3 linked regions of the Alligator mississippiensis genome follow. The protein of the gene in region 1 interacts with the protein of each later gene in a pairwise test. Links are inferred from orthologs where the notes say so. Each region holds a gene or a part of one and is shown in the gene's direction. Other genes may lie near its edges. The genes, in order: CYTH4, FOS and IPCEF1.

Region 1 (8,056 bases):
ACCTCCAATGAGTACAGCCTTTTGATGAGACCAAGGACTTGACACACTTTAACCCAATAATGAGTACTCTCTTCCACGGTACTGTTACAAACCCTTTCTTTTCCAATTTATTATTTACTCATACATCTAGTTCCCACAATCCTTAAGTGGGAATAAACTCTCCACGGTAAGCTTTGAGTGGTATCTGTTTATCTCCTCCTATCGGTGCCTTTTTTTAGAATTGCTAACGGTGTTTCTCACAACTCCTTGACTTGTGAACCAGTGTCCAATTTAAAGGTAATAAGTGCCTTGTTTGCTTTCAGGTTTGTAGTCCCCTCATCTTGTGCTGCAGCCCTATCTACCACTCTTGTGAGAAATTCATATGAGCTAGAGAGGACACTCCTTTTGTCCATGCTGCATGTTCTTTGCTGGCCTACCATACTCTTGAAAAGGGCTGTAACCTGTTGCAGATTTTTTCCATCTCCTCCCATTTGCTGAGCATTGCTGTGGCTTGAGCAGGTTGCTGCAGCATGTTCAGTTCCTCATGCTGCTGTTCATGCTGGTCTCTGACTTTTGAGTTCCCTGTGTTTTTCTGCTTCACATCTCTTTTTTGTGGTATTTTGGAATCTCCATCATATTGCACTGTCCACACTCTGCACGCCTCATTCTGGACAAGGTGATTCCCATTCCTGGCAACCTTAAGCTCTTTGCTAGGAGTTCATTGTGGGCCTTCCAGGAATCCCTTTCTGATTTTTTTTTTTTTTTTGTTCAAAATCCCAATGTAGTTATCCCTGCAAAAATTGCAACAACTTTGGCCTCAGATTACCCCACTACAGTTTCACATTCCTGTTGTCCTCTCTGATAAAAGCCACATTGTTAGTATGTTTCTTTTTTACTTGGAGTACAGTAATCCTCAAATTTCTGCACTCCAGTTTCATAGTTAGGTCTCTGCCTGAGTTAATTGAAAACTATTAAGCACATCAAGGACCGTTGCCAAAAATAAGTCTTCCCCTTTACAGTCATCCACTGCTTCTGGGGCAGAGTAACGTGCTGTTTGAACTTCTTCCAGGGGCCTTCCACATTTCCAAAGACTATCAGCAATTTGGGACCAATAATATATATATTATCAACGTATTTTTTCCCTTTTGGTGCCATGTGGTGTTCAGGCATCACTCTGAGACAAAGCAGGTTGTGGCATCAGCTTTGTTTGTGGTCTCAGCTGCAGCTGCCTTATAAAAAATAGGCTCCTACACCCCCTCCCCAAACTTCCTGTCTTGGATGCCAAACCACATAAGGACACAATTTCCAGTGCCACACTCGCTAGTATGTGCTAGACGTCTAGCTGCATTATAAAGACACCACATGGTTCCACAAAACAGATGATCTTCTATCTTAGAGCTTAAGCCTGGAATAGTAGAACATACATAGAATTTCTCCCCTTGTAGGTAGTGGTCAATGTCCCTTTTTATATATTTTTGTTAAAATTTATGTCCATATAACCTGCTGTTGTGGTTCAGTGGTAAAACCCTTGTTCTGTCATGCAGGAGACCTGGGTTTGGTTTCCCAGATGTGCATGTAACTACAGTCATTGAGGTTCCAGATTTGGTCTGGCCTTTGGATACTGTCTAAAGGGGGATGGAAGGTCTAGACAGCTTCGACTTCTCCATACTCCTGCCTAGGTGTATGCATCAAAGGTCCTGATGACATCTCATGCGTACACCATGGTTTAGAAGGATTGACAGTTGTTTACTATTGCTATGCCTGTATAGAAGGGACGTGGTGATTAGTGAGCGCACCTGCTCTTTTGGGTTGGGTCAGGAGCCAGGAGTGCGTAGCAGAAGGTGCTGTAGAGCCAGAGTGAGGTGTATTGGCCAATAAGGCAGTGCGAAATTTTGCCACCAGTTTTGTTTTGACTCTGTTTCGACCTGTTTTGAGGTTGAAACAGCAACATCAAAATGAAACAGATACGGCCAAAACAGCTTTGAAATGAAATGAGGCAAGTCAAAACGTTTTGCTGTTTCGATGCTGTTTCAACGTTTCGCCCATAGGCTATAATGGGGAAGGTCAAAACAGCCTATAGTTTTGCCATGTCTAGCCAGATTTGGATAAAACTTGCAGAAATGGTAGCTTCTTCTGAGGGCATAAAGAGTTCCAAGTTTCAAGAAGATAGGTGCAGGGAGATTGGAGAAACTGCACCCCAAAATCCTGAGCCAAATGTGTCCTCTGTATGTGTTAAGCCACAGGAGGGTCAAAACTACAGGAATGCTAGCCCCTGCTGAGGCCAGAAAGCCTGCTGTGTTTCAAGGAGATAGGTGCAGGGGGTTCAGAGAAACTGCACCCCTAAATCCTGAAAGCAAAACTCATGTCACATGTATATGTTAAGCCACAGCAGGGTCAAAACTGCAGGCTTGCTAGCCCCTGCTGAGGCCACAAAGCCTGCCAAGTTTCAAGGAGATAAGTGCAGGGGTTTGGGGGAAGCTGTAACTCAAAGCTGCAGACAAGCAAAACTCGTGACATGGGTGACACTGTGTGTGTTAGGGCACAGCAGGGTGAAAGCTGCAGGGGTGGTAGCCCCTGCTGCAGCCACGACACCTGCCAGCTGTCAAGGAAATCAGTGCAGGGGGTTTCTGGGGCCCTGCACCTCTAGCTGCTGACAGGCAAAACTTGTGAAATGGGTGCTTGTGCAACTGACTGAGTCTGTCTTGGGGCCGTTGATTGTATGTATTGATTATTTCCTCTCCTTAGTCTGTGGTTTTGTAGGTGTTAATCCATGCTTGTTAAGTTGTTATGTAGTAGCTAGGTCCTGTGTATTGAGCTAGTCCCTGAGTGAATCATGATTAATTGGTAACTGGTAACACAGTAGCTTAGCAGCCAGGCCTGCAGTAGTCCCTCCCCCACCCTCCAGTGCCCGAAGACAGACACAGGTGCACAAGCACCCATGTCACGAGTTTTGCTTATCCACAGCTTGAGGTGCAGTTTTCCCTAAAGCCCTGCACTTATCACAGGGGTGGGCAATTATTTTGGGCAGAGGGCCACTTACTGAGTTTTGGCAAGCCATCAAGGGCTATATGACAGGCAGCTCAGGGCAGATTAATATTAATTTTCTAAATTTTTTAGGGGCCCTGCAGGCCAGATAGAATGGCCTGGCGGGCTGCATCCGGACCCCAGGCCACATTTTGCCCACCTCTGACTTATCTTCTTGAAATCTGCCATGTTCTGTGGCCTGAGCAGGGGCCACCACCCCTGCAGTTTTCAGCCCGCTGTGCCTTAACACACATAGGGTTATCTATATCACGAGTTTTGCCTGTCAGCAGCTTGAGGTGCAGTTTCCCCCAAGCCCCTGCACCTATCACCTTGAAACTTGGCAGGATTTGTGGCCTTACCAGGGGCTACCACCCCTACAGTTTTGACTCCACTGTGGCTTAACACATACATGTGACATGAGCTTTCCTTTCAAGAATTTGGGGTGCAGTTTTCCCCAAAGCCCTGCACCAATCTTCTTAAAACTTAGCAGGCTCTGTAGTCTCAGAAGGGGCTAGCAAGCCTGCAGTTTTGACCCCGCTGTGTCTTAACACATACACATGACACAAGTTTTACTTTCAGGATTTTGGGGTGCATTTTCTCTGAACCCCATGTACCTATCTTCTTGAAACTTAGCATGCGTCATGCCCTCAGAAGATACTACTATTCTTGCAAGTTTCATCCAAATCTGGCCAGAAATCACAAAATTGTAGCCTGTTTCAACCTTCCCCATTATATCCTATGGGCGAAACATCGAAACAGGGTCAAAACAGCAAAACGTTTCGACGGAACGAAATGGAACTGCCATTTCAACTCAAAATAAAAGTCAAAATGAAACACTGTTCTGTCAAAACATTGGTCAAGATGAAATGTTTCTGCTTCACACAGCCCTATTGGCCAATATGTCAAGACTGGAATAACAATGGGTGCTACATGCCACAATTGAAATGCATCAGGGTGGGGTATCCAGTCCTGGGGTGGCGTGGTATGGTTTCCTGAAAGTGAGCAGTGAATTCTTCAGTAGAGCTGTGTTGGGATCACGGTACTGGAACAGTAAGCTGTACACCAGGACAAAGACAGGGAAATGTGTGAGATACAGGTTTGGAGAGTGAGGGATTCAGTCGGTATAAATGAGGTCTGTCAGCAGAGCTCTCTATATGACTGGATTGATGGAGAAATCAGGAGGTCAAGACTGATCAGTGCATTGCTTGATCTATATGGGTCCCCTGCAGGGTTGTTCTGTTGGATCTCCTCTCACCTGAGGGACCTATAAATGGTAGCTTACACTGGACAACGTTTTTCACCCCCCTCCGAAAGGAAATTTGTAGCCATCTTCCTTGCAAGACAACCTTGACTATGGAATCTGAAGGGTGAAGACTGGTTGCTGATTCATCCTAAAGACCACAAGCTATTCACAGTCTTCCCTAGGGCTGCCTGGCTATGGTCTTCAGGATGCCAGTCACTCACAATCATAGAGTGTTTGATTCTTGGCAGGATGCCAGGCCAGTGTTAGGTTTAGAGGCGGTGGTTATACCATCTTGCTGTGTTGTTGACGGTGTTGGGAGGCTAAACTGGAATGGCCCAGAATGATACAGAGCAGGGTGCTGCTGCATTGTCAAAGCAGTGGGAGTCTTGCCAGGCCCATGCCCATTGGGCATGGAAAAGTGGCATCCTCTCAACATTTGCAGCTGTAATTTGGACAAGGGGAAAGCTTTGTGCCCAGACAGCCATACTCCTCATGTGCTAGATTTTTCTTAGTCTGTGCTGATTCTTTGCCCTGCTGATTTGGAAAGGGGGATCTCAAGGTGTGCACGCCAGCTGCTGAGCTTTCTGTGTGGGCATGAAGGCCCCTCCTGCAGAAGTTATGAGGGCTGTCACGTACAAAAGACCACGGACATAGCAACCAAGAGTGATTAGCTTAAGGGGAAGTGTGCAGCCTTCCGGGGCTGGAGAGAGAGGAAGAGAGTAAGTGACAGAGAGACTGACTGCTCTGCCAGCTAAAGCCCTCTATTTTTCATCAGAGCAGACATAGCTCGGGTCAGGTCAGTGCCAGCTCCCTCCATACTGGGACACTCCCTCCATACTGGGACAACTCTAGGCTCGATCCACTCCTTCCTGATGATGCTAGTCAGAAGAGAACGCATTTGAGATGGGAGTAAAGGATCCAGGTCATGTCATTTCATTGGCAACAGGAACCTACTGGAGGCCCACACAAATATTGGAATATTCATCCACTCTCTACCAATTGCTGAGCTACTTTGAGTTGTGGTAGGGGGGGAGTCTTTCTCCATCATAAAACCACACCCTAAGGCAGCTGTTTTATGCTCCCTCTGTCTCTAGAGCAGGCTGGATAAAACCAGAGCACAGTCACCCCCAGCAATGAGCTGAGCGAGTGCCAATGGAAAGACACACTGGCTTTCTCTTGTGGGTTTTTATGTAAGAAGTAACCGGAGTCTGCGTGCTTCTAACAGTCGGAGCTTGTAGTTTCCCTCACCCATATGAGCTTGTGGGGAGGAACCAGGGGGTGGAGCCGCAGCTCCTCCAGCTGACACAATTTTAGACTCTGGGGTGAAGTCGCATTAATTCTGCCAGACGCCTGAAAGAGCAGCGGGGAAAGAGGAACTCGCAGTCGCACAAAGAGAATTTGCCTCTGAGTGACATTTCAGCATGGATGTTTGTCCCATTGGTAAGTCTTTCCTTAAAGAGATTTGGCCACATCTTCTCCCTGCCTTGTTGATCAAAGTGCTGCTCATTCTGTAAATGCTGTCAGGTCAGATTGACTCAATTAGGGCTAGCAGCTGCCATGGGGATGGGACGGGTGAACATAGCCAAGAGGTTTCTTAGAAGCTCTGCAAAGGGCTTGTAGTTTTGTGGACGATGTGCTATAGGGAGAGGTGTCTTCTCTGTCGAGGTATTGGCTTCCCCCCCTACCTCCAGACAGTTCCTCCCTGACGTCAACCAGTGTCACCCTACCGACTTGAATTGGAGCTGGGTCAGAACTGTATTCAGAGGCTGACCCTCAGCCTAGGTAGGTGGCAAAAGGGTAGAGTGCAATTTTCCTGGCCCAAGCTAGGGTATCAGGAGTACGTGGCACTTGGGATGGTGGTCAACATGTGACTACAGACAATGGTTTCCTTTGATGTAGCCTCAGCGTGACAGGAATAGAGGTGCAGAAAGAGCAGACTGCAAATGCTACAACATAGTCCTCCTGCACCAGGCAGGGCTGATTCACCCTTGCACTGCACCCAGCATAGTCATTTCTACCAGGATCAGACCAGTGGACAGTGGCTGTAAATTACCAGTGTCTTCATGTGGTGCAAATCTGCACCGACTGTGCATTGCAAGTGACTACCTGGGGCACAGTAATAATAAATCAGCCCCCCAGAGAGGAGGGTTGTTAGCACCTGATGAAGCAGTCTGTTGCTGACAAATGCTTGTGCTTCTTTGAACCAGTCACTCTCTAGGACAGTGGTTCTGAACCTTTTTAGATTCAAGGACCCCTCAGAAAATGCCAGCTTTGAGCTTTCACTTGTTTTTTAACTACAGAAAAATAATAGAGCAATTCTTCTGTTGCAAAGAACTCAGGAAAACCACAATAGGTCAAAATATCTGTGACACTATGGATTCCTATTTTAAAATCTCTCTGCTCATCCTGTGAAGGTTTTTGCACACCTAACAGTGCTAATATTACATGGCACTGCAGGACACCCTTAAAAGTATATTGCAGTGCTCTGGTTGAGAAACACCAACCTGAAGTGCCACCCTGCCCTGCCTCTACCTGACTTTAGGATAGCACAGCTAAATACTTTTCCACCTGCCCCCACCCCCACCCCAAGAGAAGAAGAAAGATTGATCAGCCTGAATCTCTCGCTTTCCTTGCAGCAGTTGTTTTAGAGGGGTATAGAGAGGCAGAAGTAGGTGGGAGGAAATTAGCCACAAACCCAGGGGCTGAGAAAGATCAAAACTCTTTGATTTCCTGGTTTGCTGGGTGCAGTGCAGCAGACCTGGGATCTAGTAGACAAAGGTGCTCTGGAGGCAATCCCAAAAGGCAGATATTGGGTGTGACCCATGCTGAGAAAGGACATGAGGTTTCAAGGGAGAGGACACACTTTCTCCAGGGGGAAAAATACAAAGGATCTTAACACAAGGACACAGCTGCCATCTGTCTCTGATATCACCTCACATCCACATAGATGGCATAGCTAAGGCCATGAACAAGGAGTGGGAGCTGAAAACCCTCTGGTCCCCACGTCAAATCCTGCACCAAGGGGCCCGATTTCCTTGAAGTTCTCTCAAGCTGTTGCAAGAGAGGCTGGGCACTGAGCGCTTCTCAGTCTCTGGCCACTTCCTTTAGCTGTCTAAAGGGGACTAGAGTTCTTAGGAAAATCAGGCCCTTAGTGCCTGAAAGGAAGTGTTGCAACCAGCTCATAGACTAGCAAAACCAGGGCAGGGAGAGCCCTCACCTCTCTGTACAAAGCAGGGACATATTTTTTTCAGGTTAGTTGTTCAAGGAAAACGTGGCTCTCCAAATGCATTGTCTGCCATGTAAGGGAAGTTGTCCTACTTTTGTGAATAGACAGAATGAGTTCTTTTTACCATTTGGGATTTGTCCTGGAGTGGTGCCCCAGTATCCTGTGATGTTAGGCGCTGTACAAACACAGAACGAGATGATGGACCAGTTGCAGAAGACCTACTTTGAAGCAGTGCAAAAATGCCTAGCTACCCCAGGACCACAGCTAGCCAGCACCACTTCAAAAGCCAGCCTCACTCTCTGTGTCAGAGGCATTGTCTAGGGATCAAGAGATTACATTGATTTGGTGGCTCATTCAGTGATAAAAGCTTGCTGATCCGTAGTTTTTGGAGAAATTGTTCTGCCACCAGTGGGCCTCAGCTTCCATCAGAGTCCATGGCTGAGGTGGAAAGGTAGACACATTCACCTGTGCTGTGGACTTACACTGGGTGTGCTGCTATACAAGAGAACTGTATGCAGATGGAGACGTTGGTTCCGTTAGGTGAGGGAGAGTCAGCTTCTATGCCGGAGCAGGGGGGAACGGAT
Region 2 (7,025 bases), on another chromosome or scaffold:
TTCGGTTTCTCTGTTTCCTTGGCTTTCTCGGCACATGCTACATACATGCAGCATCAGCACATTTTCCGTTTGCTGCAAACAGAGCAGGTGGCTGGCTTCCATGTGCACGACCAAAACAAACATGTCAACAAATATTTTGTGAACTCACCTACATGGACTCGATGGTTTCTAGAACCTTCCTTGATGGTTTGTAGAGGCAGCTCAGTGCTGAGTGCCAGACTCCTCTAAGTGAAGACTCCTCTGAGCACAGAAGACCTGCACTTAGAGTTGGGCCTGACTGAGTGCCACGAGGCAGGCAGCTCCCATGATGCCTGCCAGAGACTCCTGGCAAGAATGGAGTTCTCCGAGGATACTCCTTCCTCTGGGAAGGACGGGGTGTCAGGCAGGGAGACCAGCAGGGTATAGCAGGGCATATGGACACTGGCTGCTCAGCTTGGTGCCATCAAGGTGTAGTTTCTGGGTTGGAGTTTTCTTTGGTCTATCTTTTTTTGCTGGGGTTCACACATGGGAATGGAGTCCTGCTCTGCTCTGCTCTGCTCTGCTAGGGTCTGGTCTGTCTTGGGCCTCAGGGCTGGACTAAATGGGACTCTGTGGGCTTCTCCAGCTGTGACCTCTGGCTTCAGAAAGTCCAACCAGCTGTGGATACTGCCAAGGCTGGTAAGCAGAGTACTGCGAGGCTCTCACAGCCCTGAGGCTGGGGTGCCCAGCTCCCCTGGGACCCAGGCAGCTCAGCCCTAGCTCAGGGAAGCCTCCTGGCTGCCTTGGGAAAGGATCTCTCCTCAGTGGCTGGCTGTCCCCTCTGCTCTGCCGGGCAGCTCAGGAATAGCAGCTGGCCCAGCTCCCCCACCCTTGTGGCCCAGATCTCTAAGAATGGAGGTGACCGCGTAGCAGCATCAGGCGCTGCATTTAGCCATGAGCTCAGGCAGTGGCAGGGCTGCCAGCAGGACTCCATCCAGCCCAGTGTGGTGACACTCTGCTTGGAGACTGTGCTGTAGGCTGTTTGTTGCCGTAAACAGACTCGCTACACCAGCTTCCCTGTTACTATCTATAGCGATCTCTTGGCTCCACAGCAAGGCGAGTCTGCGGTCTGGCTCCCGGCTGAGCCTGACCTGAGCCAGGCCTGCCTGACATCCCCACTGTGGGTGGGTGTCTTGGGCCTGCCCTGCAACAAACAAGGATCAAAACAAAGGGGAGGGGACAGAGGTTTCCTTGGCCATGTCCTCAAAGTCCCTTCGCTTTCCCGGATCCCGTTCAGCTTTCTGGGGAGTTCCCTGGAGAAGCCCAGCCTGTAGCACTCCACCCCCCAACCCCTACCCCAGTGCCCTATACTGGAGTCTTCCCTCTCAGCTATTATTGTGCCTAGATAGTAAGAACATAAGTAATCATGCCTGAATGTAATTTCCTTCCCCCCGCAGGAAGTGGAGTAAGTTCCAGGTTCTGTCCACACGTGCTTTCTGCCATACCCCAGCCAGATCTGTGCAGAGAAAACCGTCTGTGCCAGCCACCCAGATTTATTAACAAGGAATGTGCACGTGCCTTCCATGAGTGATCCCCACCTGCCCTCACAGCAAACCTTCCTGGGTTTTTATTGTTTTTTTTTAGCTTAGGTTGTTGGATTTTAGGGTGTAATGAAAATCGGTTTAAACATAGAACTCAATGGGGAAATGATCTGGCTTCTCCTGCATTCACACAGACTGGAGCTGCTGCTTGCGTGGATACTACACATTGCTCTTCTAAGGGGTGTAGGTGAAGGGATAGTTTTGTGGGTGGACTGAACCGCTCCCACAGAATGGGGCTGATCCAAACCCTGCTATACTCAATAGTTTTTCCACTGATTTATATAGATCTTAACATCAGGCCTTAAACACAAATAATCCCTAGATAACACCACTCTTTTATGTTATACCCAGGATGTCTCTGAGGGCTTTTATTTTATCTAGAGAAGTACAAGAGAAGCCAGAGGAAGTTTCTCCAAACTATATATGGAATTATTGGGATGTCATTAATCAGACAGTATTAACCAGAGCAGCTCCATACAGCAGAGAATATACAGACATACTCACTCACTACCTGGTGGCGAGTGAATGAGTCCTCAGGGCTTGAAGCAAGTTCCAGACTTCCACCCCTCTGCCTTTGTGTGGGGGAGTTTTATACAGCTCAGGTTCAGATTGCTGTGTTCCTACCCATTCCTTTGAGATAAGGAGCCCTTGGCCAGTTCAGTAGGGATCAGGGAAACTGAGTCACAACCTGTGACCATTGTTCTTTCCTAGGATCACCTTGTTACCATGGGGTGTGATGATCACTGGCCTCTTCATCTCCACTCCCTTGAAACTACCCCTTGCAATCTGCTTCTCTCCCGATCTAATCATTAGGATTCAGACTGAACTGGGATCAGAGTATCTTGGAGGAGGAATGTAGTGACACACCCAGCACAGCAAAAATGAGTGAGAGGCATTTAGGACTCCCCAACAGTTACAGTGGGTATAAAGTTGAAAGAAAATAAAATATGAGCAGTTTATTAAATGAAGTTTCCCCAGTCACAAGTTGACACTACACAAAATTGTGCAGCCTCCCCTCCAGAAATGTCACGTTTTCTCCAACACTTTAGATGTCATACATGTGTTTGAAGACGTAGGCAGAAGACATCTTCCAGACTTTCTATGAAGGCAGAACCAAACAACACAACATAGTTACATGGATGGAGGAAATTGAATTAATTTACGATAAATCTGCACAGCATTAATGGCCTCATTATAATGCCTGCATTTAATGACTTTAAATCCTAAACACCTCCAAAATGAAATGTGAGATATACTGTACCATTTCTTAAAAGTATTTAGTAGAAAACATTGCCTGCTTAAATACACAGGGGGGAGGGAAATCAGGGCAAAAGTCAGACTGTCACAAAACCAACACACACACACAACTAGTAGCCTGTCCTGAATCATCAGCAACTGTTTCAGCTCTCTGCTATAAAAGTCTCCCCCAGCAGAACACAATAACCACTAAGTAATCATAAGGGGTGTTAGGTCTGGTTGTGTCAGGGTTGAGGGTAGCCTTATGTAGAGTTTAGATTATGGATGGTTTGGATAGCGATGATCTTGCCTCAGTCAGACAGGAGGTTGGACTACTCTGGAGGCCCCTTCCAGCCTTACTTCTCTATAACTCTATAACCCTATAAGGGTGATTATTTTTCTCTAACCACTGTCACAGACAGCAAGAAAGCTACTATAACATGAAAAAATATGCCATATTTTTTGACAGGAGTAAAAAAAGTCACCCCATTTGCCTTCATGCTGCATTTCCCCTTCCCAGCCTTCCTCCACATTTTGTCAGATGAGACCACGGAGCTACTCTTTGGGCAGGGAGCTATTTTCAAATGTGTGGAAAAGTGACAAGCTGGTTTCGATTCAAAACCACCAATAAATAGTGGCAGTAACTGTGAAAAAGCAGTTGAAGCTGATGGGAGGAGCTGGGCCGAGGAAGTTCTCCCTGGCTGTGGAAGGTGAGTGAGAGCTGCAAGGTGTCTCTATAAGCAGCAGAATTCTTCTGGGGAGGCTTGGGGGTGGTGGGGGGGTCGGGTCTGACTGCAGCAGTGCAGCTCCCTCTTGGGTATCCCCCCAGCAGGGGACCTGGCGTTGCCATGCACCGCACTGATCAAAGTGCAAACACAGCCACTGCTGTTGCAGCTGCCCTTCTCCTCCTCCCTGTCTCCCCCCACCCCCGCCTCTCTCTCTCTCTCTCTCTCTCTCTCTCTCTCTCTCTCTCAAACCAGCCGCACTTGGCTGCAGCCTGGAGCGGTTCCCGTCAGTCACACCCCCTTGCACAGGATGTATCCCATATAAGGATATCTGCGTCAGTGGGTTCCCGAGCCGGCCGTACCAAAGCGGACGGGGGGGATCCGAAGTTCTGTCCGCCCCTGAGGAGCCGAGAGCCCCAGAGACCCCGGGGAAAACCCCCGTGACACAGCGCGACAGACGAGTCGAGGGTGCACGAGAAAGGAGAAAGCCCCGCGGGGGCTCCGGGGAGGCCACAAGGGCAGCTTGTCCTCGGCTCCCCCGCCCAACGGATTGGCTCCGCCCATGATGTAAGACCATTCACCAGCCTTGACTATAAAGGGGCGGAGGCGCCGAGCTTTACTCCACAGCTGAGCGCTGCAGAGTGAACGGGAGACGGGCTCGGAGCGCAGACGCGTAGCCGGCAGAGACGCCCCCCCCCCCCCCTCCGCAGCCCGAGGGACGCCGAGCGCGGACACAGTCGGCACAACGCACTTGGGGGCTCTGTACAATCCTAGCCTCGCCGACATGATGTATCAGGGCTTCGCTGACTATGACGCGGCTTCCTCACGCTGCAGCAGCGCTTCCCCGGCCGGGGACAGCCTCTCCTACTACCCTTCACCGGCGGACTCCTTCTCCAGCATGGGATCGCCCGCCAACCCCCCGGTGAGCCCCGGGGCAGCGGTGCAAGGGAGGGGCGGGCGGGGGGGGGGAAGCTGCGGGCGCGGGGACCACCGACTGGACGGGCGTGAGCTGCCCGGGGTGCCCTGCTCCGCCCGGTGCACTGGGGAGGACAGCGCTGCAGCCCAGCCCCGGGACGGGGCCGCATGGGAATGCTGCCCGGCCCTGGGGAAGGTCAGTGGGGGGGTGGGACCGCGGGCCGGGCTGCGCTGTGCGCTCTGCGGCGGGTGTGTAAAGCGGTTTCATTGATAAAACGGGAGTTCATTGAGGAGACTCCGGAGCGGCGCCTGCGTCAGTGCAGACGTCAGAGATATTTATAACAACCCCCTTTTCATGTGGAGTCTGCTGATGGCAGCGCAGCGCTCGAGCCAGCCTGGCCCCGGGGGCCGCTCGGGAGCCTCTAGGGGCTGGGGCTGGGGGGGTGCGGGCTCAGTCCCGCTGCCTCCCTGCGGCTCTGGCTCACCCTCGCTTCTCTCCTCCCCTGTCTCTAGGACTTCTGCACGGATCTCGCCGCCTCCAGCGCCAACTTCGTCCCCACGGTGACCGCCATCTCCACGAGCCCCGACCTGCAGTGGCTGGTGCAGCCTACCCTGATCTCGTCCGTGGCCCCGTCGCAGACACGGGCTCACCCCTACGGCGTCCCTGCTGCTCCCGCCAGCACCTACTCCAGGGCTCCGGTCGTCAAGGCCACCGGAGGCAGAGGGCAAAGCATTGGCCGGAGGGGCAAAGTCGAGCAGGTGAATGAATGCGCGGCCGTGGAGGGGGGGATTAACGGGGTCTGGGCGCGCGGTCCCGGCTCTCCCGGAGGCTGCGGGCAGGGCTGGCAGCGGGACTGACGGGCGCTCGTGCCTCTCCCCAGCTGTCCCCCGAGGAGGAGGAGAAGCGGAGGATCCGGAGGGAAAGGAACAAGATGGCAGCTGCCAAATGCCGCAACCGCAGGCGGGAGCTGACCGACACCCTGCAAGCGGTAAGTGGCTCCGGCCTTCTCCCCCCCCCCCCCCCCCCCCCCGGCCCTGCCGGGCTCCGCTGCCCCGACGGCGCGGCTCCCGAGCGCCGCCTGAGCCCGCTACGCTCTGCCCCGCAGGAGACGGACCAGCTGGAGGAGGAGAAGTCAGCGCTGCAGAGCGAGATCGCGGGGCTGCTGAAGGAGAAGGAGAAGCTGGAGTTCATCCTGGCCGCTCACCGCCCTGCCTGCAAAATCCCCGATGAGCTGCGCTTCCCCGAGGAGCTGGCGGCTGCCTCCATGGACCTGGGCCCAGTGCCCAGCCCGCCGCAGGCCGAGGCCGAGCCCGAGGAGGCCGCCTTCGCCCTGCCGCTCATGCCTGAGCCAGCCCCGGCCCCGATCCCGGCCGAGCCGCCCAAGGCCAGCGGGCTGGAGCTGAAAGCCGAGCCCTTCGACGAGTTCCTTTTCCCGCACTCGTCCCGCGAGACCGCCCGCTCAGTGCCCGACATGGACCTGGCCGGCTCCTCGGCCTTCTACGCGGCGGACTGGGAGGCGCTGGGCGCCGGCGCTGGCGGGGAGCTGGAGCCGCTCTGCACGCCCGTGGTGACCTGCACGCCCTGCCCCAGCGCCTACACCTCCACCTTCGTCTTCACCTACCCCGAGGCCGACGCCTTCCCCAGCTGTGCGGCCGCGCACCGGAAGGGCAGCAGCAGCAACGAGCCCTCCTCCGACTCGCTCAGCTCCCCCACGCTGCTGGCCTTGTGAGAGCCGGGCCCAGGGCACGGACTCCGGATCCCAGCCCCCTGCTGCTGCTGCTTGAGGGGGGCTTCCGCCTCCTTCTCGACCCCAGCTGGGCAGGGGCAGCCCGGACCTGCGCTCCAGGACCTTGCGGGGTGCTGCTCGGGGAGGCCTCGCACCTCTTCCAGAGATGTAGCAAATCAATCGCATGGAGTTCGTCTTGTCCCCAGTGCCCCATCCATGAGAGCTGGTAGTCTGTAGCATGTCCAACATGGCTGGGTTGGTGACTCCCCTTCCCTCCTTAGTATCACTAGCATTAATTAATGAATAGCTCTTGGTTTCATGACTTGGAATTTAACCTGGTGCTGGGTTTCTCCAACTCGTTATCTAGTGCAGCTGATCTAACAATAACTACTGTGTCCCTGGCAATATCGTGTTCTGATGACTTAGCAATGACCCATCTTAACTGGGGGGGGGGGGGGGGGCAAAAAGAGACTCTCCTTTATTTTCTAGTAGATTAGATAAATGGCTATATCCATGTACTGTAGCTCAACATCAATATTCATTGTTCTCTTACTGATCATGCGTTGTCCAGGTGGTCTGAATGTTCTGACATAAGTTTTCCATGAAAACGTTTTTATTGTGCATTTTAATTTATTTATGAAGATGGATTCTCAGATATTTATATTTTTATTTTATTTTTTTCTACCTTGAGGTCTTTTTTGGACATGTGGAAAGTGAACTTGGATGAAACTCTTAAGCATTGTTTGCTTATTATTGTTCAGAGACGTTGTCAATAAAAAGCATTTAAGTCAAATGTGAGAGCTGCTCTGGAGTCTTTTCTGGTCCTTCTCTAACTGTAAAGTGTGGTGAAACTGGTGCCCCAT
Region 3 (7,873 bases), on another chromosome or scaffold:
ACAGATCCCTTATGGTTTTTTTCATAAAGCAAAAGCAACAGCCAAATCAACCAAATTTTAAAAAGCTGAGGAACTGAATTGTGACTGCATCAGGTTATAACACTATTCCAGTATGTGAGGAGAAGGTCACATTATTTATTTCTAGTCACATTTCTAGTCTCAGACTAGACATCAGGAGGCGCTACTTCATAGTCAGGGTGACTAGGAGCTGGAACCAACTTCCAAGGGAAGTGGTGATGGCTCCTACCCTGGGGGTCTTCAAAAGGAGGCTAGACAGCTACCTAGCTGGGGTCATTTGACCCCAGGATCCTTTCCTGCCCATGGCAGGGGGTCGGACTAGATGATCTGCTTAGGTCCTTTCCGACCCTACCAACTATGAAACAACTTGTTTTAAAAAAAAGATTTTAAACCCACCACAAATGCATTTAATAATCATTCTTCACTCTAATTGTTTCAGCTATGCTTTCAGGTTCTATCAGAAATGGCCTTTTAATTGATAGGTCCTTATATATGGAGCAGGAGGTCACATTTTAAAAGTGAATTGGGTGAAACATCTCCCTCTGCTGCTTGCTCAGGGGCTACTACCACATCAATTGTTTTTTTGCTTCCTTATGCTCTTTTTTAAACATAAACATTATCTCACTTAAATTTAATGTACAAATAAGCCATAACAAGAGCCTGAAAATGATTAATAATGAGACAGGATTGTGAAGGAAAGGAATGAGAACAGGAAATCTAATCTTTGGTTTTTCTATATATAGCAAACACCTCCAGCATAAGCACACAGTGTTTTGTATAAATACATTTAAAATGTGTTTTGTAGGCACATATTTTCAACATGTTGTCATGATGTGAAACACATGTAGCCTCTAAAAAATTATGTGAAATATGCTGAGCTTTTGCCCATGCACATAAGTAAAAGTTATGCTCAGTGTATATGTGTGTGTAAATATTTAGCTGGAAGAATAGCCAATGAGAACTACTTCAGAATGATCCTCGAGTCAGAAAGCCACAAAATATAGCTCTGGAATTTGCCATGGTTGTATGTCCACATAAACAATACCAACTGGGAAGACTGGAGCGGGGGAGGAGGAGGAGGGGGAGTTTGCTATTTGTGGCAGATCACAGAAGAAAAGAAATTGAAAACCAGTTTTCTTGGCTCTAATTGAAAGATACAAGATTATAAGCAGGGGCTTTACACAACTTTAAACAACTCTCCCCACTTTGAGTCTGAGTCCTGTCTTTAATGATACATGCAAAAATAATCAATTTTATTAAATACTCTAGAGTTCAGTTAATCATCATTTTGGCAGAGGCCTAAAATGGCTTGGTTCAGGTATGTATGGACAGGATTCACCCATCATCGTTACAGGGCCATAAGTTACACAAAACAAATATCCACTCACTTGCCCTTTCAAGCTTGCTTTTGTCAGTTCTTTGAGGCAAGATCATGTCTTCTATTGTTTATTCAGCAGAATGAGACCCTGATCCTGGCTGAAGGCTTCAGGTGATAATATAAATATTTAATGGTACTGCAGTGGGAAAGGGGCATGAAGAAACTTCACTTTCCATGGTAAATTTCAGCAGTTCAGGCAAAGATTAATTATTTGTAAAATCTCCGAGGCCATTTGCTGTCAGAAGTTTTTAAATGGTCAGTAAAAACTCAGAGTATTTGTAATACATGGCTTTTTACAGTGTAAAGCTAGTAAGGCTATGTCTAGCTATCTCAGTCCTCCCATCCATTCCTAGCCTATGTCATAGCTCTGTTCTTGTTTCTGCTTCTCCTGGTTACTGATTGACACATTTGAGTCTTCAAATGAGTTTCAAATGGGCCAGTGGGGGAGGGGACCAATAGCAGTTGCCACCAAGTAGTTGCTTCACAAATCCAAATATTTCCTGGGTAAAATTGGAGAAAGGACAGCAGGTAAAATAAAATCCTTTTAGAAAGTGGAAGAAGTTTTTTCTCTGTGGTAGTATTGAATAGATAGATAAAACACCATTCATGTTCAAAGAGGTTTTGTGGCAGAGGAATTTACAATAAATGGGAATATTCCTGGATTTGGGGTGGGGAAGGGGAGTGGGGGGAGATGGGTGTGTTGCCCAACAAGGAAGGTCATGGCAAGAAACCCTACTTTTTCCTTACATAAGTTCTTTGCACATGGATTCTGTCATCTTCTCCTGATGAGCTCTGAGATCTGAATGGAGAGGCAAAGTATTATTTGAATAGCCACTGGATGGGAACTTCTATGAGAAGTTGATCGTAGAAGTCTTCAGGCTAATGAGCTATTTTAGGTGGGGTAGTGGGGGAAGGGTTTAGCCTTTTGTACCAAAGCACTGTTCCTAGGGGTGACCACAATGTCCCCTGGGCTAGGCACAGAAGTTACACATAAACCGGTTCAAGTGACCAGAAACTGGTTTAAACTTGTAACACAACGTAAGTTCAGTGCACATAAACCACCTTCAAAATGGCTGAGAATGGTTTAATATAAACCTGGTTGAATGTCGTATCAGACTTAACTGGTTGAGCTCAAGCTGGTTTAACTTAAACCAGAGTCCCCCAGCATCCTGACATGCTTTGTAGCCCTGTGTGAGGCTGTGCTCTCTGCTCCCTAGCTGGAACAGCGGTGGACAGGGGCAGGGGCATGGCTAGACGCTGGCCCCACTAAGGCAAAGGGGTCAGGGAAAAGGTTTTTCCCTCTGTCCCTCCCCTGTCCTACTATCATGGACCCCAGCAGGGTCTAACAGGCAGGAGCTCAGCAGACCCTGACCGGCATTTTTCCATTTGCTGCTCCAGTGGTGGGGATGTGTCCAGCCCCAGCAGTAGCCTCAAATGAACTGGCAGGGAGAGGAATTTAATTTCCCCCCTCCCTGTCCCACCAGCATAGACTTGGGCCAGGGTCCACCTGGCACTCCCCACTTGCTGCTGCAGAGGTGGGGGCATGGCCAGATGCCGGCCAGCCTGGCCCCCTGAGGCAGAGGGACCAGGAAGGGGTTTTATTTCCCTTCCAGCCCCTCTGTCCCTGGGGGACTGCAGCCAGGGTCTGCCTGCCCCAACTGCCTGCATGCGGCAAATGGTGGGATAAGCCCCCTCCCTGCCTTCTCTATGAGATGCCAGAGGGAGGGGGTAAATAACCCGCTCCCTGCACTCTTGCCTGAAGGGGCCATGCTGGCCGGCCTCTGGCCATGCCGCCACCCCTGCTGCTGGAGTGGCAAAGGGGCAGGGACTGTGATGGGGGCAAGAACCCCTTTTATGGTTTCCCAGGGAGTGAAAGCTTCTTCCTGGTGGGGGACGCTGTGGTGCAGGGCGGTCAGAGCTGCTGCAGACTGCATGGGGCAAGTGGCAGTAGTGTGTGGGAGGCCTTGGGGGGCTATTGCCACCCCTCTGAGCCCCGGTGCCGGTGCTTACCCCACCCAGTCTGTGGCAGCTCTGCCTGCCCTGCTCTACCTGCCGCCGCCTGAAGCATAGGCCCCAGCTGGGAAGAGCCTTGATGTCCCAGGAAACCATGAGAGGGGCTGCTATCCTGCCAGGGTCACTCCCCATTGCCACTCCAGCAGCAGGGGCTGGGGTACAGCTAGAGGCCAGCTGGCATGGCCCCCTTAGATGAGGGGGAAGGGAGGGGGATTATTTCTCCCCTCCCTCTGGCATCGGGTGGAGGGGGTAGGGAGGGGGCTTATTCTACTGCTCGCCCCACACAGGGAGTGATCAGCAGCAGTCGGGGTGGACAGACCCTGGCTGTGGTCCCAAGGGGGTGGAGGTAGGGAATAAACCCCCTTCTTGTTCCCTCTGCCTCAGAGGGCTATGCTGACCAGTGTCTGGCCCTGCCCCTGCCTCCACCACTGCAAAAGTGAGAGGGGAGTGCCAGGTGGACCCCAGCTTGGGTCTGTGCTGATGGGGCAGGAGTGGAGAATTAAACCCCCTCCCTGGCCAGATCCCCTGAAGCTACTGCCAGGGTTGTCCATGTCCCCCCTCTTCTTCCTCCCCCCACCCCAGCACAGCTTCCCTGCAGCTGAGGGTGCTCTCTAGCACCGCCCCCAGCTTCTGGCTTAAGCCACTGCAGGCATGTGCCTGTATTTCCTGAGTATCTATTCACTTGCAGAACAGTTCAGTCTAGGCAGGTTAGATTAACCTGCGAAGATTGAATCAATTCAGGCTCTGGCTTTTTGAATGTCTGTCCCTAACACTGGTGGCTGCTTGGCCCCTGCTCTGCTCTTGCTTCTCAGGCTTGCTCCCCTTCACCTCACCTGCCATGCCTTGTTCCAAGGTTGTTTCCATCCTTGGAAAGGGAGACTGCCCCAGAGATCCCTGATCCCATGCTACTGTTCAGGTGTCACTACTGAGTGCAGTACATGACTCCAATTGACCCTTACACCATGCCCATGCCTCACAGATGTTGCTAATCATGCTCTGTGTCCCATTCAATAAGTGTCTCTCTTCAGGGGCATCGCAGCACCCTGTGTCTGCATATCTCTGACCCTATGTCAGCTCTAAGGCTGCCTTCTGTTAACCCCTGGGAGAGTAGAGTCTCCCTCTGCTGCTTGCTCAGGGCCAGGATGTCAGCAGCTAGGATGAGACTGCCTACCCCAGCTCTGGCCTTGGGCTTATCTCCTGGTTAAGCCCCATCAGGTGCTTCCCATCTTGCTGACACAGCTCCTTCCAGAGCCTTCGCCCTTCTTAAAGTTGTTACCTGTTAAGAACACCTGATAAACCTTTACACGTGACACACCATAGTTCTGTAGCATGCCCTTTTCTCTTTAAATTTCCCCACTTACTCTGCTAGTCAGGAAGTAGACTCTGCCATTGACTGAATATGACTGTAGAATGGCTATCTAACTGATTAAGGTGCTTGTGTGGGCCTCCAAATTATAGCCTCTCAACAGTTTGGCTGTCTGTAACAGGTTATCTTCATGGTATCTATAGATGATGCAGGGAAGTGTTAATATCCCCATCTTAGGGAAAATTTAGCCAAAGAGAAACTAAGTGGCTTGTTCAGTGTTTCAAGAGGCAGTCTGTGATGGAGAAGGCAAGAAAAGCGGCATCCCTGGGTACTTAGATAGAAGTCTAGCAACTGGACTGTCCTTCATCACAAAGGTACCTCAATTTTTAGTGCCAAAATTCTATATGTCAAGTCAATGCCAACCACTTAAGTTCTGATCCTGCAAAGGTCTCTGACTGACCTCCAATGCAAACAAAAAGCTAATTTCTTGGTCAGGCTCCTACTTTATGGAGAACACCTGAGGTTAAGAACCCATAAAGTATTACTAAGGGGGAATAGGGTGGGATTGCTCTCTATTTAGTGAGACTGTAACGTGCTGCTGACTTCATACCATCATTTTGTTGCATAAGGGCAATTGCATTGGTATCTTTCCTTTGTTTTTTTGGCAGTGACAGTGATCACTACTTTATAAAGTGCTGTTGTAGAGGTTGGTAGAATCTGTTAATTCTTAAAATACATTTCTAGCATCTCTAAGATTCTTGTATACTTTTTTCTCCCTGGATATTTACTGGTTTTTTGCTTGGTATTTTTCTTAACAATATAGTTCTCCTGTGTTTCTTTTTCTGTCAGATGGGCATGCTTAGTTTGATTTGTGATATTGGGCAGTTGTATAAGAGAGGTTTGTGATTTGTAGTTTGATGTCACTATTCCACACCTTAGCTGTGCTATGTTTTGGGGCTAAATGAGTTCCCTAGATTGTCAACTCCACTACTGCAGAAGTTGAGATCTATAGGAGATGGAGCTTTGTATTAGATTAGTGGTGTTCAGCCCCCATCTCATGTCCCTATCCAGCCTCCAGTGCAATGTCATCCATGGGCCGTGACTCTGCGCACTAGATTGGGCCTGTGGGGTAGTACAGGACCTGATCCTGGTGTGCAGGGTCAGGCAGGGGCAGTGCAGAGCCCCTGGAGCACAATACCCATACATGGGAATGGATGGAGATGGCACAGGGCTCCTAGAGCCTGATCCCAACGTGTGGGACCAGGCAGAGGTGGGATGGCACCCTCAGAGCCCAATCCTGGCACATGGGGTCTGATCTGGCCCAGAGACTGGGCCGACACCTCTCAACTGGCTGGTGGGGGCAAAGGATTGAGTGCCACTGTAGTAGATTACAATTGCTTACATTATGCTGATATATGATCTTTATATTTATTTAGCCAGGACCTTTGATTTTTGTGACACTTTTTTCATTCCCCCCCTCCCCTCCCCTCTCCAGGCTCTTAAGATGAGTATATATTTAGGCATGTTTGATTTTATTCATAGCTCCTGTGTATATTGTAGGGTAGAACTAGGAAAGATTATTAAATGCTTAACTTGAATATTATTCAGGGAATTTAGAGCTGGTTATAACTACTACTCTCTTGATAATTTTGCGTAACACCAATAATAACTTTTAAAACATTATATAACTCAACACTCTTCCATCTTAACCAGCTTCTAACAAGGTCTGGCCACCCACAGTGGATGGGAACATATACAAAAGCTATTTTCTAACTCCCTTTATGTATTAATAGCAGTACCTGTTATCCTGACCCTTTTGGCATTCAGAGCAGAGACCAGGCAAGGGAGCATCTTGATAAAAGTTCTCTGTAGTTTGAACTCTGCCTGACAGTAGTAGGTCCACCCAATCTCTCCTTTGGCTCAGGTGGGTCACTGAACCACCTGTCACATCATGAGTAATATTTTTAATGGTAGTCATTCCTGCTATAACACACTGAATAAAACAGGACTTATGTGTATGCTATAAATCCTTCACGGTTTAGAAAGTAGTTAATAGCTAAACACATCACAGCTAGAAGAGGTGATGTTGTGTAATGCTTTACATTTGTTATATGGGGTCAGGCTACAGATAAATCCTAGAGAATTGCTCTTTTTGAATACTTAAGGCAGATGATCCAAAGATAGGTCTAGAAAAAATTCTATTTGCTTCAAAAATATACTACTATGCAATATGTGCTCAGTGTATTTATGCATACACGGGGTGCATTTATTAAGTAAGCAGTTTTGTGTAGCAACACTGGCATGTAGCTATTTGCATTTAACTGGAGCATGCTGCTGCCTTCCAGCAGAGCATCGTTACTGACCTTTTACTCCCATGAATACAGCAATGTAAAAGATTAACTTAACAGCAGCATAATGTTCTTAGGTGCTGCCACCTTGTGGAAGTTCCCTGTAAGCTTTTTTGTCAGGAGAACCCAGATTTCCTCTCAATCCCTGACCTCAGAACTGCTAGAGAAACGCTAGCTTTTGTTTTCAGTTTCCTGTTTAGAATCTCTAAGGGAGTGAACATGCAGGATAATAGGAATGTATTACACAAAGACTCTTTCTGAGGACAGGTAAAGCCTTCAGACTAAAGGAGCTTGATGTACAAATGCATCTAAGATGAATTTGGTCCAGAAATTTGAGCAGATGAAAAATTTTATAAGAAAGCCTCTGTTTCTGGACATGAGGGCTAGGGACAGACATTCAAAAAGCCTGAGCCTGAATTGATTCGATCTTTGCAGGTTAGTCTAACCAGCCTAGGCTGAATCATGTAACCACACAGACATCCCCTCTGGATTGAAAAAATGCAGGCACATGCCTGCAGTGGCTCCGGCTAGAAGCTGGGGGGCACTAGAGCAGCCCTCCCTTTCATTCCACAGTACTGAGCTGAGGCAGGATGCTCTGATTAAGGAGGGTTCCCCACCCCTTCTTGCTGGTCAGCAAGGGAGCCAGCAGGGGCTTACACAGCAGTTATCACCTCATTAGTAAAAACAAAAAGATCTCTCAATTTTTCAAGCTCTTCTTAAACAACTTTTTCCAAGGAAGGAATGGAGGAACGTTACCAGCTACCTGTTGATTAGCTCCAAAGAGCCGTTAGCCACTGTCCTTTGTCTTGT

The links.
Region 2: the proteins of CYTH4 (region 1) and FOS interact in a two-hybrid assay, tested with the Homo sapiens proteins (2 studies listed by BioGRID and IntAct). The two-hybrid records come from large-scale screens. The link is inferred for Alligator mississippiensis from reciprocal best matches to the Homo sapiens genes CYTH4 and FOS.
Region 3: the proteins of CYTH4 (region 1) and IPCEF1 interact in binary tests that used the Homo sapiens proteins (3 or more experiments, as listed by UniProt). The link is inferred for Alligator mississippiensis from reciprocal best matches to the Homo sapiens genes CYTH4 and IPCEF1.

The regions. Positions count from the first base shown.
Region 1 is NC_081827.1:100,459,814-100,467,869, reverse strand, and holds the start of CYTH4 (cytohesin-4), read left to right. Parts: upstream 1-5,005; 5' UTR 5,006-5,667; coding exon 5,668-5,686; intron 5,687-8,056. UniProt on the Homo sapiens protein: Promotes guanine-nucleotide exchange on ARF1 and ARF5. Promotes the activation of ARF factors through replacement of GDP with GTP.
Region 2 is NC_081825.1:261,360,839-261,367,863, forward strand, and holds FOS (protein c-Fos), read left to right. Parts: upstream 1-3,959; 5' UTR 3,960-4,304; coding exon 4,305-4,442; intron 4,443-4,948; coding exon 4,949-5,194; intron 5,195-5,316; coding exon 5,317-5,424; intron 5,425-5,541; coding exon 5,542-6,165; 3' UTR 6,166-6,955; downstream 6,956-7,025. UniProt on the Homo sapiens protein: Nuclear phosphoprotein which forms a tight but non-covalently linked complex with the JUN/AP-1 transcription factor. In the heterodimer, FOS and JUN/AP-1 basic regions each seems to interact with symmetrical DNA half sites.
Region 3 is NC_081824.1:133,246,704-133,254,576, reverse strand, and holds the start of IPCEF1 (interactor protein for cytohesin exchange factors 1), read left to right. Parts: upstream 1-4,813; 5' UTR 4,814-5,089; intron 5,090-5,317; exon of another isoform or gene 5,318-5,421; intron 5,422-7,873. UniProt on the Homo sapiens protein: Enhances the promotion of guanine-nucleotide exchange by PSCD2 on ARF6 in a concentration-dependent manner.